Bombyx mori: one gene and its partner. The protein of the gene in region 1 binds, or shares a complex with, the protein of each later gene. Links are inferred from orthologs where the notes say so. Each region holds a gene or a part of one and is shown in the gene's direction. Other genes may lie near its edges. The genes, in order: armadillo repeat-containing protein 8 and glucose-induced degradation protein 4 homolog.

The links.
Region 2: the proteins of armadillo repeat-containing protein 8 (region 1) and glucose-induced degradation protein 4 homolog are in contact, whole or in part, in a cryo-EM structure (PDB 7NSC), measured with the Homo sapiens proteins. The link is inferred for Bombyx mori from reciprocal best matches to the Homo sapiens genes ARMC8 and GID4. Residues at the interface, in NP_001350870.1 of Homo sapiens: Glu309, Pro310, Asp311, Val312, Asn371, Glu373, Arg406, His409, Arg413, Ser414, Val415, Gln416, Arg419, Thr420, Gln423, Asp424, Val444, Ser448, Cys451, Asn452, Leu455, Phe457, Ala483, Val486, Asn487, Trp490, Met493, Asn494, Phe497, Gln498; in NP_076957.3 of Homo sapiens: Leu104, Ile105, Pro106, Pro107, Pro108, Pro109, Ile110, Gln114, Pro115, Gly116, Val117, Ala118, Thr119, Gly125, Gln146, His147, Tyr154, Cys156, Tyr158, Phe174, Glu176, Phe239, Val241, Pro242, His244, His292, Ser293, Ala294, Pro295, Ile296.

The regions. Positions count from the first base shown.
Region 1 is NC_085117.1:9,114,871-9,119,241, forward strand, and holds the start of armadillo repeat-containing protein 8, read left to right. Parts: upstream 1-1,260; 5' UTR 1,261-1,374; coding exon 1,375-1,398; intron 1,399-1,481; coding exon 1,482-1,695; intron 1,696-4,371. Other genes in the region: ankyrin repeat domain-containing protein 54, read right to left, coding at 1-351. UniProt on the Homo sapiens protein: Component of the CTLH E3 ubiquitin-protein ligase complex that selectively accepts ubiquitin from UBE2H and mediates ubiquitination and subsequent proteasomal degradation of the transcription factor HBP1.
Region 2 is NC_085123.1:10,770,733-10,775,223, forward strand, and holds glucose-induced degradation protein 4 homolog, read left to right. Parts: upstream 1-1,462; 5' UTR 1,463-1,781; coding exon 1,782-1,928; intron 1,929-2,128; coding exon 2,129-2,296; intron 2,297-2,387; coding exon 2,388-2,620; intron 2,621-3,648; coding exon 3,649-3,712; 3' UTR 3,713-4,422; downstream 4,423-4,491.

The DNA.
Region 1 (4,371 bases):
ATGCAATGGGCTTCTTTTGTGCTCATCTGAACAATTAGGATCCGCTCCAGCTTTTAATAATCGTTCAACGAGTTCTGTGTTATTCGTGGAAGCCGCGAACCGCAACTTGTGATTCCTGGATGCGCAAACTGTTCCACCGTATCTATGCTTAAGACGGCAGTGTCTTGCTTTTGTGGAGCATTTAATTTTTCCGACATGATCATGTGGCTCATCTAAAAACTCTACTGGCATTGGCTGACCAGATTGGGTTATAGGAATTGCTGGAAGATTAAATTCCAAAACACATTTCGAATGATCAAACACAGGATTATCGCTGCTCTCATTTCCAGTGTCGACTCCAGAGTCTGTCATTATGCAGTTTCTTAATGAAATATACTAGATCATCACACTTTTACGTTATCAGGTTAATTAATGTACATTGTACTTTAACCAAAATTTCATATTTTGTTTCAAAAATAGTAAATAAATATCACGACCAGCACGAATTGTTTTTGTAAAATCCCTGAAATGGATTGTATGATTTTATGAATGTCAAATTGTCAGCGTTTAGATGTCAACTGCCAATATTTACTTATTAAGATAGACTTTTTTATTATACTTCAGTGCCTAACACATGTCAAAAAGTTTAGGTAGACACATGAGTTACAATACTCTATGCCACTTTTCTGCAATTTTTTTTAATACGATCGAAGAGTAATCTTACTTACTTTAATGGAAAAGAATGCCCTCTCGGAACGTTTTCTAGCAGAATTGAAACGAGATATCAGTTATATGATCCAGAATTCCGAATTAATTTCGGCCTACTGTGGAGGAAAGTTTGCTTAAAATTTAAATCATGGAGTTAATAAGTATCTGGTCTACATTTAAATACAGTATTTGTTTCCTTTTTTTTTTTATTGTAACATTCGCAAAGTATATGTAGATATGTTGTGTTTTATTGAGCACGACTGTATCGATTGTTTTAAAAATACAAACGAAACGAAATAATTGTAATACCTCTAGTTCGGTATAGAGAAAAACAAACTTGGGACTTTTTTTTTACTATTTACAACTTTGCTGAATACGACAGGTGAAAATTTGGGGTAAGGTAGCTTTAAATGAACATTTTGTAGGATTTTGTCAAAGCTCATAGTCAACTAACCAGTACTAGCAAAAAAAAATGTTGTAGAGAAGCTTGGTCTATGTAATTTTTAAATTTTTTTAATATTAAAGATATTAAATTTTAACGCGGTCTAGAAGTGTATAATCTATGGTCTAGAACTGTCACTGTCAGTTAACACTTGACAATCTTGACATGTAGTTCGGCCTCGGTTGTCGATCTGAATTTCGAACGTTTATTTTTACCAACATTACTGCGTATATTTTGATTAAAACATGCAACAGTTTACAGTATTCATGGTACGTAGTACAGGATTCTTTGAGTTAATTAAGACTTTTAAAATCTCTTATGATATTTTATAACCTAAAAAGATTTCAAATAGGATATCGAAAGCTCCCGCTCGTATATCGACGAGTTGTATTCTTCGGATGCGGTGAAGGTAATGGAAGCTTTGGTAACGCTGAAGAACTCGGTAATAGGGAGCAACAGACAGAAGAGTTCAGTGATCAGTCAAGGGGTAGTTCCAAGGCTGCTACAATTGATGTCTGAAGAATCACTGGATCCGAACATTAGACTAGAGGCAACTATTACAATAGGTAAAATTTCATTCCTTCATAAACCTATTAATACATGGTAGTGATATACATTAGTGTACACAGTGATGTACAGAAATTTTTGTTCTTATAATATTAGTATGAAAGCTTCCCAAACAATATTAAGTATATTAACTGTAATTTTTACATTAAAGTTGACGTTTGATAGATTATTTACTTTGTACTACACTATTTAATCTACATTATTTTATGTAAATTAACATTTTTACAATTACAATGAAAATGAAATTCGCAAATCACTTAATTTAAGATGCAGCATAAGCTATTGTTTTCCTTAAACCAGCAATGCGGGATTATTTTCTAGATGATTTTGCTACTTATAAAAGCTTTCATGATTATCTTAATGTTTATAATTTCTAAATACTAAATAGACAAAAGTCATTTTTATTTTTTTAGTTTCACATTCGGTTTCTTGTAAAGTCTTGGTTGTGTACTTTCATATGTAAACTGAACAGAAAGTTATTCTACAGGATACTAGTTTCTAACAGCTACTTTTAAATATTGATTTGACTTTAAATTATGATGTTTCAAACCACATACTTATTTTTACCAAAATCTCATAATATTGTCACTCAAAGTAAGGGAAGTAAAATGGTTTACAGAATTGATTTCATAGTTTCAGAGATTACCACAAACTCACAAACAAATAAACAAACCTTAACACCTTATTATACAGCCTTATATTGATTGCCATTGATGAAGAAAGAACCAAAGTAAAAAATTGGCGTCGGTGACATGTGGAGGTCCACAATAATATTTAACATGAACTATCATTTTGAGTTTCAATTAATGTAATAATCCTTATAGATAGTACTAGCTGACCCGGCAGACTTTGTAGTGCCTCGATGGATAAATAAAAGACTAAACTTTTGTATAAAATAAACTTAAAACAAACAAAAGGAATCCGTCCGACGGGGGACACATCAAACATTTATATTTATCATACAAATATCTTCCCTTGGCGGGGTTCGAACCCGCGACCCCCTTGTGTAGTGACCATGTCACTTACCACTACACCAGACGGCCGTTAAACCTACCTTTTAAACCTTCTCTGGACTTCCACAAAAGATTCAAGACCGAAATTAGCCAAATCGGTCCATCCGTTCTCGAGTTTTAGCGAGACTAACGAACAGCTATTAATTTTTAGATTATTATTGAAACATAGGTTACTCTAAAAATTATCTTCAAAACATGTTATGTCTATTTGGCTATATATGTGTCGTCTATTATCAAAGGTGGCAGTCTGTACATTTGAACAAGAAAATGTTATTGATATGTCAATACAGATTGATTTGAATATAATCGTCTCCTTCAAAGAATATGGTTCAAAACCTGCATTAAATAAAGGTTAATACTTAACCTGTTATTTATCTAAGATGTCGTTCAGAAGAGTTTTGTGGTTGCCAATGGAATACAAAGTCAATAATTCGTTTTTCTGATTTACCAATAATTGTCCAAAAGTCACATTGCCGGCTTTGATACTAGTCGACTCATATATAAGAAATAATATAAATACCTAAATAAAATTAATGCGCATAAAACATTTTATGTCTTATGTTATATCATGTAACAAAGATAAAAAGTTTGGGGACCTCCAAGTTAGATGTTGCATTTTATTTTGATGTTTTTGTCATTTACTTACTTCTTGGGTTGAGAGTTTATCAAATGTTTTGTGATAAAATTAACACTCATAGGTGTGAATGTAATGTTCAATACAGAATTTATAAAAACAAATGTCAAATCAAAGTCCATTTGATGATGTAATCAAATAAGTTATTAAGCAAACAAACCATTACATTACACCATAAGCATGTATCTTTGTGATTGATTGATGGATGTGGTATACAAATAGAGGCAAATCAAAAACCTTTATATTGTTTATTAGATTAGATAATAGATGTTGAAAGTTTTCACGTATCTTATTAGGCATATTTGAAACATATTCTGATGTTTCTAAATACTCCAGTTGCTATGGTCATAGATTATCTCATAATTCATCAGCAGTTGAAAATTGAAAAATTTTTAACCGAGCTTGAGATTATTAAGATTTGCAATAGCTCTATAATGCATAATACACACAATATGTTAGATGTTCATATTTGTTAGTATTTTAACAAAGGCGCATTTTATATTTTTTTCTGAAGTGTATCTGTGCAGAATTTATGCTTCAATATATAAATGAACCCATTTTTCAACCTACGTTTATGCGTTCTTTGACTCTAGCTTAAATGCTACAAAATTCCTAAATTGCTAAAATTGCAAAAAAATTCAATTGGGTATTGTAGTCAATGTCTTATGCATTAATATGTTGCCTATGTAGATAAATCCATGAAGTGTAATAAATCAATTAACACCAGTAGTTTAACAACAACATAAACGACAAAAAACTCAAATTGAATCAACACAACATGTACAAGACAAGCATGCACAAGCCAAAACCATTTGTATATTCTGATTTACACAATGACACTTATGTGTATATCTCTTATAAACTGATGTTACCATATACTTAGTGGACTAAAGTATAAGCTATATAAACCGTGCTGTGTACTCTTATCAAGAGATGTGACTATGTCGAAGTTTTCTCAGGAAGAATTTATTTAACATATTATTACATATATTCAAGAGCGATACTGCAATAAAGGAATAGCATAGTAT
Region 2 (4,491 bases), on another chromosome or scaffold:
GAATTGGTAAAAAATATCATGGTTTGTCAAGTTTCCAATTAAAGATCAAATAAATTATGTGCTATTAAACCCACAAAACAAAACAGTTTACATATCAATCTATTGAAATCAATGAAGTAGGAAAACTGAAATCAACGAAACGACGAATCAAAGACATTTTCTTCTAATTTCAAGTTCATCCAATTGGTAAGGCAAAGAAGGTTACGACTATAGGGTCAAATCTTTGATTTAACGATTCCAAGGAGGCATAGTCTGTTGTTTCTATTACTGCCTTCGATCAAAAATTTTACTTGATAAATTATCAAAACCTTGGTGCCAGTTTACCTTTAAGATAATTTGAAAGAAAATACGAAGTTATAATGGAAGTTAATTTATCCAATAATTAGATATCATATTCGCTAGATTGAATCCCGTGAGATCGTCTACACGTTAGGTGAAGCTGGTATAGCCCCTCGACGCTACCAGCATAGTATGTAGCATAGGTAGGGGAAAAAAAAACACGTGTGCCACTCGGGGACTGCCGCGGTAAAGCTATAACATAGCATTTTTATCAACTTACGCAATTATAATTAGACAATAATAATTTAATATTAAAAAAACAAAATCAAATAAGTCCACGCTATATTTATAAACATTAACAAAAGCAAAACAATAATTGCCCCCTTCACACTCATAAACTAGACCGCGCGAGAGAGAGATGGGCAGACTTTTCATGATTCGCATGCAGTGCGACGTGACGTCACGCCGCGCGCTTATTCACAAACTACACAAGTGCAACGTGTGAAAATGTTGAACACGAGCTACATGGTAGGTGGAGTGGATGGTGTTAGGTTTTATTTTCGTTACGGAATTTCTTGATTCGGTCGCCACGTTCAAAGCCCGCGATAAAAACTATGCAATAGCTTAAAAGAATTGATGGTTTACCTGAATGTAATTACGTTTGTGGGCTGATGATGATGATGACTATTAAATACCACGGCGTGAATATTGCAACTCACTATGAAGTACGAGATCGAAGTCAGTTGATGAAACGAAAATCACTACTGACTTCAGTTGATTTTTTGGCGGGAACGTGAGGACCGAAACTATCTGAATTGTTTTGTTTTGTTATTTTAGTATTTGGTCAGGCTTACACATGTAATAACGGTGGTCTATTAGCTGTTTATTATGTGTGCATTGTTATTTATGCACTTATGAATGCGGAAAAATGAAAATGTTGCTTTCCGGGTTCTTTAAAAAAGCCCGCTAAATTTTGTGTATTTGTAACCACCATTTTAATGAGACTTTATTTCATCCCCTCGTCCTGTTTCATTTAATTTCATCTTCATTAATTAGTCTCAATTAAATTATTTTCACCTCATTTCATCCATATAATTTTTTCACTTATCTATATTTATAATATATGCATAACAAAATAAATAAACATTAAACATATTTCCTAAAGGCTCTGTGGTGTGATATCTTCGCCTTTGCTATTGGAAGACGGAACTACTACTACAAAATCACTGTCACCTGGCTTTCAAGTAGGAATTTTATTTGCGGTGTTTGTTTCCTAACTTTCACTAAGTCTAAGTGATGTGAAAGATCCCCAGCATATCTGTTTTTACCTTTTTATTGTAATCGTACAACCATCATGTAAAACATATGTTCTATCAATAAGCGAAAAATTTAGATAGAATTGAAAGGCTAGCGTAACTACTGTCTGTCACGGTACCTACTCATCGCTCAGTTCTGCAACTGTCACATTTACAAGAGCTAGGTCATCGTCTTATGGAAAAATAATGCCAGTGAAAGTAGACATTACACCACCTCCACCAGCTAATTCAAAACAACCTGGTGTGACAAAATCCCTCCTTTACAACGGCTCTAAATTTCAAGGACATCAAAAAAGTAAAGGCAACTCTTATGAAGTCGAAGTAGTTTTGCAGGTTAGTCACAATAACAAAGTACGCAATATTGATAAACAATATTTTATCGTGTTTCTGTGGATGTAATTGTAAAAGTTTATAAAGTAATTACTTTAAGACTTAGCAATGACATCTATGTTTTGAACAAATGGGGCTCAAAGGCTTATTAAATTTTTGTTAAAGTATATAATTTTAGAAACTTATGTAACTTATTTTTACAGCACGTAGACGAAGAAAATTCATACCTTTGTGGATATTTAAAAATAAAAGGTTTAACAGAGGAATTTCCAACACTCACAACATTCTTTGATGGTGAAATAATTTCATCCAAATATCCCTTTCTAACAAGAAAATGGGATGCTGATGAAGATGTTGATAGGAAACATTGGGTAAGTGTAGTTATCTAATTTTATAATAAAAACACTTTAATAACATAGTTTGTAGGACTGTTTAAATTTGTTTCTTTTTATTTCTTTCTAGAGTAAATTTGACTTATTTGTACCATATTTAAAGACTTTCAACTCGGATTCATTTGATTATGAGTCTCTAGCAAAGGCTGATTATGTGTTTATGAGATGGAAAGAACATTTTTTAGTTCCGGATCATACAATAAAGGATATAAATGGTGCTTCTTTTGCTGGTTTTTATTATATATGTTTTCATAAGTCTGCAGCCACAATAGAAGGATATTATTACCACCGGAGCTCAGAATGGTAAGTTATGACAATTTCATTTTAAAAAAAATCTATAGATATAAATGCAAGATTAATAAGTTTATTAGAAGATATGAATAAGAAATTATTATTAGACTAAATTTAGAAAATTTAAGATACTATGAATTCACTCGAAAATAATATTCGTGTTCTACATAATTTAATTTTTATTCATTAGTTAATAACATTATTAAACTGTACTTGTAAAATGTAAACTTTTACTGTCGTTGGTAATTATAAAAGATAGAAAGAGGTGGATAAATTTAAATATTTTTGTACAAATTATTTTTTCACTTTGAATTTATTGTATATATTTGTTAACATAACTTTTTAAATGTAAACTTTAATCCACTCCTGCTCTTGGGCCAATATACTATAATATAATATAATAGCTTGGTTCAATTTGGTTACAACTTATCGTCACTGCAATGTAAGTTGTTATTAATGCAAAGCCAAGTTAACATCTTAGGTACATTACAGATGTCATATGTCCTCAAAGTAATACCACACAGGAGTGATAGCAAATAATAGGTTTATATTCACCTCAAACAGTACAGTAGATACCTAAGCATTTTGAAAGATACTGAATCAGTAATATTCAACATAGGAAATAGGGTCAGAGTTTGTTCAGATAATAATGTGATGTCACATGATGACAGATATTGGAAAATAGTGATTGTGGTTTGTGTGACACAGGATTATATATTTTTATTTTCTGAATATTCAGTCAGCTCAGCTATATATAGTGCTGTGTTTTTAATGCTGGGTCATATTTTTGTGTAATGTGAGTCAATTTGCCATATAGAACTGGGAGTTATGTTTAATTTAAAAGAATACCAGTATATTCCATATGCTTCATTTGCTAAGAACTTTTTTAAATACCTTCACATTTGTTTGTTATTGTTTAATTTTTAATTCGAGATTGTAGGATAACTATAAGGAAAAGCTTCACTAGTAACATCTGCACAAAATAATCAAGTGGAATTTAAACAACTAATAAACTGTAATAACTATTTTTATATTTTCAGGTATCAGTCATTGACTTTAAGTCATGTTCCTGAACACAGCATTCAAATATATGAGTTCAGATGAAAATATTTGTTACTAAAATTTGGAACAATATTTTTGTGTCTACTAGTACTTACTTGTTCATAAAAAAGAAAAGTATTTGTTAATATTCAGATGCAGAAAAAAAAGATGGTTCATTTCACCAACAAAAATCAATTAAAAACATTTAAAAAAAACTAAACATAATGAGACATGTCTGTTCTTGCACATATTTGAATAACTGAGATTCATTGTTCTTGTTGATCGAGAAAAATGAGTGTATTATTTGAAATTTTTCATTGTATTACTTAGTGTAATTATGTAGATAAAGAAGTAAGTTTCATGATGCTGCGTATGTGATAATTTGTACAAATGACTTGAATGTAAGTAGATTATTGTGTTGCTAGTCGTTTTTTTTCTATGTAGTGTTTTCCCAGCTTTTTTCTGTTTAGTATCAAACGGCTTCCATTTTTGTGGGCTGTGATGATATAGAGTAAATGCCAATTAAGATCAATTATTGCTGCCTTTATCAGTATCAGTTTTTTTGTTTATGGCATAAATAGCAATTTTAGTCCAAAGTCATCTTAGCTTCCAATCAAATTTAATGAAATATGTGCAGGATCAGAAAATTTTGTTGTACAACTTGATGAACAGACAGAACAGACCTTAATTTTAAATGTAGTATCAAGAATTCAATATGATTTTATTGAAGCATTGATAAATACGTTTTTTTAAATAAAACATCTTATAAATAAGTTACTTGTTTGATTTATGGAGATATAATGAAAATACGAGTTCATTAGATTTCATTTTAATTCAACACA